2 linked regions of the Drosophila melanogaster genome follow. The protein of the gene in region 1 interacts with the protein of each later gene in a pairwise test. Each region holds a gene or a part of one and is shown in the gene's direction. Other genes may lie near its edges.

Region 1 (4,734 bases):
TCTTTGCACTGCTTAGCTTCCCCATTTTTTTCGCTCTATTCTTGGCTCTTTGTTTGCACAACTTACACGTCTGTGATTTCGACAGAGCAAAAATAAACAAATAGTTGCATAAATAGAAGATATGATTTTCATATTCGTACACATATGTATATGCACGATTTTCTTTCCTTTTCTTTTTCAATTTTTTTTTTGCGCGTCAAACAGAAACAACTAGAAGAAGAAGATGAAGAACTTACCACTTGCGTTGTTGTTGCTGTTCGCTGGTTGAATCAGCAGCAGCTGAAACACAACAACACTGCCACTCGTTTCGCTCGTTCCACTTTTCTCACACGTTCCGCAGAGCGCGCGCAAAAACAACAACACAAACAAAAATCATATGTTTCAGCTGCTCGCTCTCCTACTCTCTCTCACTTGGTCTCTCTTTCTCACTTTAGCTTTTGTTGTTGATTTCCTTTATGGTGTGTGCTTTTCGTCAGTTGTTGCTGTTGTTGTTCTTAGTTCTTGTTTGCAGCTCCTCTTTATTATTATCTTCGGTTGTTGCAGGCGGCAGCAGCAGCAACAAAATCTCCAATTGCGTCTTGCTCTTTCTCTCTCTTTTGCTCCGTCTCCCCCTTATGTTGTGTTTATATGCTTCTTATTATTTTGATTTGCCACGCCCTCAAACTGTTGTTGCTTAATATTGGGCGTCTACTAATTAATTACAAGCTTTTTCGAGACGCGCAGCAAATTCTCAACTGCGGAGCTCGAGTTTTGTTTGAAAAAAACTGAACTATTTTTTGTATGTTTCTTCTTCGTCTTCCTCTGCCGCTGCCGCCGTCGACGCAGAGCCCTATTGCTGGCTCACTCCCACTCGCGTTCACAAATTCACGCACACGCACCAATACAGACACAACGACTGCGCTGCGTCGTACGTTTTACTTAAGTTTCCTTTTCGTCGTTTTTCGTTTATGATTTTGTTATTGTTATCGTTGTTGTTTTTTCTGCTGCTGTTGCTTACTGCCAATGTTGTTGTTCTTGCTGCACAAAAAGTAACTGCGACATTAAATCTGCAAAACGTTCGCCTTGTTTTCGTACTCTCCCGTTAACTTATATACATAGGTCTTTATATATATATATATGTATATATCGATTAAGAGACGATTTATGCGTCGCAACAGAAAAAAAAGAAGAAAATAACCAAGAAACTCTGCTGCCAGAACGAAAGGGAAAAAACTAGTACTAGCTGGTCTGACTGCTGGCGAGCGTTTGCCTTTATTCGTGCAATATCTTTAGCGGACACTTAGTATTATTAATTGTTATTATTTTGGTTGCTGCGCTGTTTCTCTCTCTGTTTTTTGTCTCGCTCTTTTGGTTTCTGGGTGCTATGCCAGTGTGACCGTGCAGCTGTAATATGAAATACCAAATTTTATATTACAGCATTCTGAGTGTGACCAGACTTTATATACGAGTGTATGTCCTTGTAACGGATAAATCTAGTTGCAGTCTATTTATTTAAAATATTAGCAAAGCAGCTTAATATGAATAGCTAACGGCTTTTAAAATATTAAAACACAACACCATATGCTCTGAAAAAACGTATAGTTTCACCACCGAATTATTCAGTAATAAAAGTAATTATTTTAATTAGTATTTTTTTTTTCATTTTCAAATTTGAGCTTTTGTAGCATTATTTAGTATCTAATTGCCCTAGGCCGGAACCGATTATTGAATTCAGACCACCGCCATTTGGCAACACTGGCGCTGCATTAGCGGCAAAAAAGATTAATTTGGCCATTTACGTTGGCGTAAAGTTCTGTCGCACAACAATTATAAAGCTCGACCAGCTGGGTTGGTAAGCGTTCATGATCGCTCCCGTTCGCCGCAGCATTACTCTAATCCTGTCCAGCGGCATATTTTTGCACAACAGCCACATGGCGCATTAAGTTTGTTGTTTTTCGAAATTCGCAAAATGTGTGTTTATTGCGGTTGTGCTTACGTGTGTGAGTGTGTGTGTGTGTGTTGGGTTGTGTTTTGGTATCCAGAGTGAGTTCATCCAAATGGGAAAAAAGGAAAGGAAATGAATAAAGTGTTATATGTTGAAAATAATATATTTGGGTCAAATCTGTGGGTTATGTGTGTGCGTGGGTGTGATTGTATATAAGGCACATTCGTTTTTTTCCTTGATTTCCTTTCGCCTTACTTTCGTTTTCTTTGCGCTTTCTTGTTTTGCTGCTCCGCATGTTTGTTGTTGCTGCTGCACGCGCTTCTTCTGCCGGCGCAACTAATTCGATTTATTTATAAAACGTAGATTTATACATGTTTAAATATTCTGCTCTAAACTAAAATGCAAAATAAAAGCATCTATCTATTCGCGCGCGAGCGCGTATATGATTGTGTGTGTGACCTTCGTGCAATTTTCCAATTGGGAAAGGGGAAGAGAACGAAGCAGTGGCGAAGGAGAGGATGGCAGCCGGAGAGCGAGGTCCTGCGATAATGCAATCAGATCGCCTGTGCATGCGTGTGTGTGTGGGGGTATTTTCGCAGCTTTAATTCAATTTCTCCGAGCAACAAGCACTTACGGTTTTAAAACAATTACACACGGGCACTTTTACAGTTTGAAAGCTTTGTAATCAGGCAATTTACCTCCTCCTTCCTTACCAAGCTCCTCCATATTTATTTGTTTTTTTTTTATGGTGTGTGTTTTTCTACTTTTCTATCGCTATGTCTTTTGCAGCACAAGAACGGCGGAGGTGGCGGCAGAGAGAAAAGAGTGAAAAACAAACCAAAAGACACGGCAAATCAGTCTAGTCAACAAAAGCAGACCAAATGAGCACGCACTTCGGGACTAACGAGCAGCACAAACTAAGCCAAAAATAAAGCTAAAGATAAAAGAGAGGCAGAGGCATCACACACACACACACACCCGCACGCACACACACTAGCACAAGCCATTACACTAAGCGAAACCGCATCGGAAATCGGCTTCAAGATGCGGGTAGTGGCCATGGTCAGTGGCGGCAAGGACAGCTGCTACAACATGATGCAGTGCGTCGCCGAGGGCCACGAAATCGTCGCCCTGGCCAATCTGCATCCCAAGGACAGAGGTGAGTCCACAACGATCACTTAGTCTTTAGCTTAAAGGATATAGAAAACGTACCACATCTCCTTTGTCCCACCATGATTTCATGACTGAATTCTGAAAGAAGGATCACATTAATGTTGATAGGCACATATGTATATGCTTTCAATTTGGATTCTTCTGACAAACAGACAGTGCCATTTTATTGGCACACACGATATTGGTATTCCTATTTGCACTATCATTTACCACCATTACGCCTTATTTGATCTCTCGCCGCTGTGCCTCTTCATCATGCATCTTCAATTTCCAGACGAACTGGACAGCTTCATGTACCAGACGGTCGGCCACATGGGCATCGAGATACTGGCCAGCGCCATGGGATTGCCACTATACCGGCGCGAAACCAAGGGCAAGAGCACCCAGACCGGCAAGCAATACGTGCCCACCGATGACGACGAGGTCGAGGATCTATACAGTCTGCTGGAGACATGCAAGGTGATTGATTGCTTAATGATTGGCCGGTTCCAAACTCAAACCCCAATCCCGAACCCCTTCCCTAAATTCTGATTAATATGGATGATAAGGAAAGCGGGGGAAAATCGACTGCAATTGCTGTGTTGTTGATACTCTTGTTTTGCTAAGCGCTCCAAGTTCCGTATATAATACATAATTGATTTTTAATATATATATGTATATATATATATATACACCGAAAAAACGAAAATGTTGCTCTAGACAGTTTAAAAACTATATTCGTTTCTTTTGAATCTTTACGTGCTTGAAAATACTATATATATTAGTGGGAAATGTTTTTTTTTTCTGCACGTAATAGTTTATAATTTTCATTCGTGAGCCTATCAGTGATCAGCGATTTGGTTCGTCTATCCGCGCTTGTTGTGCCATGTCCTTGGGCTCCTGGTCGTGCCCACTCATCCGCGTTCCAGCGCATCAATCAACTGCAGCCCAGATTGCAACTGCAACCGCAAACCACTCGGTAATTGGGTGGGCGCAATCGCATTTAAATATTCACATACTCCTATATGTATATGTATGTATGTACATACATCCATCCATTCGCGATGGGAAGGCGCCGGTGGGTCGGTGGGTCGATGGGTAATCTTATCGCGATGCCCAACCAATCAAGACGGGACGAACCGAACTGTTGCCGTGCACGTGAACCATTCCACCGGGTTAAATAAGTAAAAACAAAAAAGGAAAAAAAAAACACTCAAAATAGTGATACAAAAAGTATTAAGACCGCAGAAACCAAAACAATAACAATGCAAACCATGAGTATTATAATATATAATCATACAATTTGTTTTTGCACCATGATGGGGTGTGTTTACACTTTGGCAGGCCTTATAGGCATTATAGTATTATTAACTGAAGTCATTAGTATCAGTATCGCCTGCACTCACAGTGTAATTACATTTTTGCATTCGCTTAGCTGATATCGTGCATTACAATTTGATCAGCTTTGAGCTGATAGGAAATTAATTACGTTGAAAATATGTCGTATATAGGAACTAATAATAATTCACTAAGATAGTGGATTCTATACACTTTTTATTGATTATGACGGCATGCCCACGATGACTTTAAGATCAACTATTAGGTAGGGTTATTCCATTTTGGTTCTTATAGTTTTCCTTATCATCTTTTAAGCTCAT
Region 2 (5,170 bases), on another chromosome or scaffold:
ATAAAAAGCGGCAGGAAAGCTGCTTTTGGCCAAGAGAAGCTTTCTCCGAGCGTTTCTGGAATATTCGTTGAAGTGCAGTGGGTGGCTTAGGGGAAATTGTGGTCAGCACATTCTCATTCTCAGTGGGCAAAATATTGAATATGATATAATATTGTTAGCAGAAGTCATCTCAATATGATATTTTATAATTAGCAATGTTTTTAAGCTATTTTTAAGTGAATATGCTATGGTTTTTTCAACTCTTTTAGATTATTTACAATTTTTAGACATAATAATCATTTTAAAAAATCTCATTTGAAAACAACGGGCATTTTTAATTTTAAGAATTAAAAGTTTTCCTTGAAATAAACCCGAATCTTTGCTGGGATTTTAGCCAACTGAATTGATAAAGCTTTTCCGCTGGCAGTTAAAAAAGCTGCATGCGGCTCAAAGCTGCAGTGGTTTTAGCCGCCTTTGTTGTTGCTGTTGTTGCTGGCGGGCGGCTTAGTGTGTCAGTTTAGTGGGTGGCAACAGTGCGAAGAGAGGGGGTGGCAAAGAGAGAGATATTGGGCCACAGCCGGCAAGGAAAATCTAAGCGCTTTTCCGCACTTTCGTGTGTGTTTTCTGTTTACATTCAATACGGGAGGCCCTAAAATGCCCAAAATTTTCCCTCGGGCAACAAGAGCGAGTGGAAAATTTTTGAGAACCATCATAAACAGCTGTTCGGGAAGCGGGGAAATAGATTTTCCGGTGGTGGTTTTTTTTTACCTAGGATCCAGTCTAATTGGATTTACCTGGACCAATTGGAGTGCGGCGGCACACACAAGTTTGAGCCTGTGCGAAAAATATAAAATCAATGCAGGAACAAGTGTGTGCGAAAATATTTATGACACCCACCCACTCACACGCTCGCACACACACACTTGCAAGCACACGCACACGTGTGACGTGTTTTTTCGTGTTTTCCCCTCGTCTTTTACTTACCACTGTGCTTGGTTTTTCCACGGTCGTTGGGTATTACTTAAAACTTAATTCGATTGATAGTCGTTCTATGCTGAGAAATGTTTCAAGCGCGTCATTTTGATCTATTTTTATAGTGTTTTTTTCGATAGACTTTGATTTTTTGCCTTTGGCTGCCAACTCGCCTGCGCTCCTCACTCTCTTTGGCTCTCTTTTGCACGGCTGTGTGTGTGTGTGTGTGTGTTGGTGCACTCACGCAGTTGCCTTCGTTGCGTAAATTATGCAAAATGCAGGCCAATTGCAATGTGTTTACAAAAACAGAACAAACGATCGCGTTAAGTGTGTTTTTTGCGATTTTACGAGCGCGTTAACTGGTCTCTGCGAAATACGCAAACGGTATGAACGTCAAAATATTGGCAGCAGCGACGAAAACATCTGCAGATGGGCTTACGAAAAATTCACAAACTGAGGCCAGTGTTGGGCAGCGGACGAAGGGCGAAATACCAATTCAAAGGGAGGCAAAATATACCGCAATGGTACTCTAGAAAATTCACGATTGTTTTGGTTTGTCCATAACTTCAACGTTTAAATAAGGTGCACTTAGAAAATTCTAGATGTTCACAATTTGTAAAAAAAATGTACACAAGCCAAAGTTATCTTAGTTTTATGAACAATTTTTCTGTATTCTTAAAATATTGTTTACATGTTAATTAGGATTTAATTACTTTGGTATTAGCTGCGGTATCTTAATACCACTACTTTTCAAACCTTCTGGCAACGCCATTTCGATCAGCTGTTTTCGTGGGACGCGCATGAGAAAATTATTGTTTGCGGCATTTCATGAAAATCGCGAAAAATGGTGACAAAAACGATAAAATCTCTGAATTTAGAGATCAATTTCGTAAGTACCATGAAATATATGTAAATCACAACTAACCTATCAAGTTTTTCACACACAGGAAGTGGAGGATGTGCCGTATGAGGAGGAAATCCTTCGAAACGCCTACTCCGTAAAACATTGGCTGCGCTACATTGATCACAAAGCGAAGGCGCCGAATAATGGTGTTAACATGGTCTATGAGCGTGCTCTGAAAGAGCTTCCTGGCAGCTATAAGATCTGGCACAATTACCTGAGAACTCGCAGGAAGCAGGTGCGCGGCAAGATACCCACGGATCCCATGTACGAGGAGGTCAACAGTGCCTTCGAACGTGCACTGGTGTTTATGCACAAAATGCCACGTATCTGGATGGACTACGGTGCCTTCATGACCTCGCAATGCAAGATTACCCGCACCCGGCACGTTTTCGATCGGGCTCTAAGGGCTCTGCCCATCACGCAGCACGGCAGGATTTGGCCACTGTATTTGCAGTTTGTACGCCGCTTTGAAATGCCGGAAACAGCACTGCGAGTCTACCGTCGATATCTGAAACTCTTTCCCGAGGACACAGAGGAATATGTGGACTACCTACAGGAAGCAGATCGGCTGGACGAAGCTGCCCAGCAGCTGGCGCACATCGTCGACAACGAGCACTTCGTTTCCAAACACGGCAAGTCCAATCATCAGCTGTGGAACGAATTGTGCGACCTCATCTCGAAGAATCCACACAAGGTGCACTCCTTGAACGTGGACGCCATCATTCGCGGTGGGCTGCGTCGCTACACCGATCAGCTGGGCCACCTGTGGAACTCTCTGGCGGATTACTATGTGCGTTCCGGCTTATTTGATCGGGCAAGAGATATATACGAGGAAGCCATTCAAACTGTGACCACCGTAAGAGACTTCACCCAAGTCTTTGATGAATACGCACAGTTCGAGGAACTCTCGCTGAACAGACGTATGGAGCAGGTAGCTGCCAATGAGGCGGCCACCGAGGAGGACGACATTGACGTTGAACTGCGGCTCTCACGCTTCGAATACCTCATGGAGCGCCGTTTGCTGCTGTTGAATAGTGTGCTTCTGCGCCAGAATCCGCACAACGTGCACGAGTGGCACAAGCGGGTGACACTGTACGAGGACAAGCCCGCCGAGATCATCAGTACGTACACCGAGGCCGTGCAAACAGTGCAGCCGAAGCAGGCGGTCGGCAAACTACACACTCTCTGGGTGGAGTTCGCCAAGTTCTACGAGGCCAACGGACAGGTGGAGGATGCTCGTGTGGTCTTCGAACGCGGCACTGAGGTTGAGTATGTTAAAGTAGAGGATCTGGCGGCGGTGTGGTGCGAATGGGCAGAGATGGAGTTACGGCAACAGCAGTTCGAGGCGGCACTCAAGCTGATGCAAAGGGCGACGGCCATGCCAAAGCGAAAGATTGCCTATTATGATGATACGGAAACGGTGCAGGCGCGCCTTCATCGCTCGCTAAAAGTGTGGTCCATGTACGCGGATTTGGAGGAGTCATTCGGCACATTCAAGACGTGCAAAGCCGTCTACGAGCGGATTATTGATCTGAAAATCTGTACGCCACAGATCATTATCAATTACGGAATGTTCCTCGAGGAGCACAACTACTTTGAGGAAGCCTACCGAGCCTATGAGAAGGGCATCTCTCTGTTCAAGTGGCCCAATGTCTACGACATTTGGAACTCTTATCTAACCAAATTTTTGGAGCGCTATGGCGGCACAAAACTGGAGCGAGCCAGAGATCTCTTCGAACAGTGCCTGGATCAGTGTCCTCCCGAGCATGCTAAGTACTTTTATTTACTGTATGCTAAGTTGGAAGAGGAGCACGGTCTCGCCCGGCATGCCATGTCGGTCTATGATCGTGCCACGTCTGCTGTCAAAGAAGATGAGATGTTCGACATGTACAACATATTTATAAAGAAGGCAGCCGAGATCTATGGCCTGCCACGTACCCGCGAGATCTATGAGAAGGCCATCGAATCGCTGCCCGAGCAGAATATGCGCCACATGTGCGTTAAGTTTGCTGAGTTGGAAACGAAGTTGGGCGAAGTGGATCGAGCTAGAGCCATCTATGCTCATTGCTCACAGGTATGATAATATATATAGATTTCTAATGCATCACTTAATCTAATTATTGTTTGCATTCTTCAGGTTTGTGATCCCCGCATCACTGCAGACTTTTGGCAAACTTGGAAGGAGTTCGAAGTGCGTCACGGCAACGAAGACACAATGCGCGAAATGCTGCGCATCAAGCGCTCTGTGCAGGCCACTTACAATACGCAGGTGAACATGATGGCCGCCCAATTCCTGAGCACAAACAACGGAGCGGCTGCGGATGCTGGAGCAGGAGCTGGACCGGATGCCATGCGATTGCTGGAGGAGAAAGCTCGCCAGGCGGCAGCCGAGTCCAAACAGAAGCCCATCGAGAAGGCGGCCTCGAATATTATGTTTGTGCGCGGTGAGACTCAGGGTGGTGCTAAGGATAAAAAGGATACGGTCGTCAATCCTGATGAGATCGACATTGGAGACAGCGACGAGGACGATGAGGAGGAGGACGACGATGAGGAGAACGAGATGACGAACGAGAATCAGGCCAGTGCAGCGGTCACGAAAACCGACGAGGAAGGCCTGGTCATGAAGAAACTGCGCTTCGAACAAAAGGCCATTCCAGCCAAGGTCTTCGGCAGCCTCAAGCCCTCAAATCAAGGCGACTCTGATGGAGAGTAAATGTTTATACATATATATGACTTTTTTCGGGGTAAATACATGTATGTCGAAAGTTTTACAATTGTAATTGATCGGTTTTTATGTTCTGGCCTCAATTAGATTCTTAAATGGTACTTTGATATTAATTGTTGTCAAACGAAGGGGGCCTGTTAGATATTGTCTCCGTTTTGGATGATCTAGTTAGTATAGCCTTAGGCCAAACAGAGGAACACACTTTCAACTGTCATTCCAAAATTGTTAGGCACTTCGTGATCTAAAAAAGCTAACCAGACGTGCGCAAGGGCGGACTAACCAGGACTAACCACACACCGTGTATCTCGAAGATGGCATCCACACGCATGATCAGTGCTTTTACGCGCAATCCAAGATTATATCAACAGGTCACGGCACCCTGGAAATCGTACAATCTGTTTGGAACACCACTTTTTAACCACAGACTTCAGCCAGCGGATTCTCAAATCTGGAGGGGATTAGCAGACAAGTGTGACAACAAGACTGTTATCAAGGGCGTGGTGGTGGGCGTCTACTCCAAGGAGGGCGACGGTAAGGAGGTCAAGATGACGTCCAGCGGCGAGAAGTTCGACGACCGAACTCAGGGCAAG

The links.
Region 2: the proteins of CG1578 (region 1) and fand interact in a two-hybrid assay, tested with the Drosophila melanogaster proteins (one large-scale study listed by BioGRID).

The regions. Positions count from the first base shown.
Region 1 is NC_004354.4:11,813,519-11,818,252, reverse strand, and holds the start of CG1578 (uncharacterized protein), read left to right. Parts: upstream 1-1,701; 5' UTR 1,702-1,827; exon of another isoform or gene 1,828-1,831; intron 1,832-2,509; exon of another isoform or gene 2,510-2,713; 5' UTR 2,714-2,968; coding exon 2,969-3,083; intron 3,084-3,371; coding exon 3,372-3,556; intron 3,557-4,734.
Region 2 is NT_033778.4:13,591,931-13,597,100, forward strand, and holds fand (fandango), read left to right. Parts: upstream 1-1,713; 5' UTR 1,714-1,795; coding exon 1,796-1,840; intron 1,841-1,898; coding exon 1,899-3,929; intron 3,930-3,992; coding exon 3,993-4,568; 3' UTR 4,569-4,627; downstream 4,628-5,170. Other genes in the region: S-Lap5 (Sperm-Leucylaminopeptidase 5), read left to right, coding at 4,892-5,170. UniProt on the Drosophila melanogaster protein: Subunit of the NTC(Nineteen)/Prp19 complex, which is part of the spliceosome. The complex participates in spliceosome assembly, its remodeling and is required for efficient spliceosome activation. Essential for efficient pre-mRNA splicing.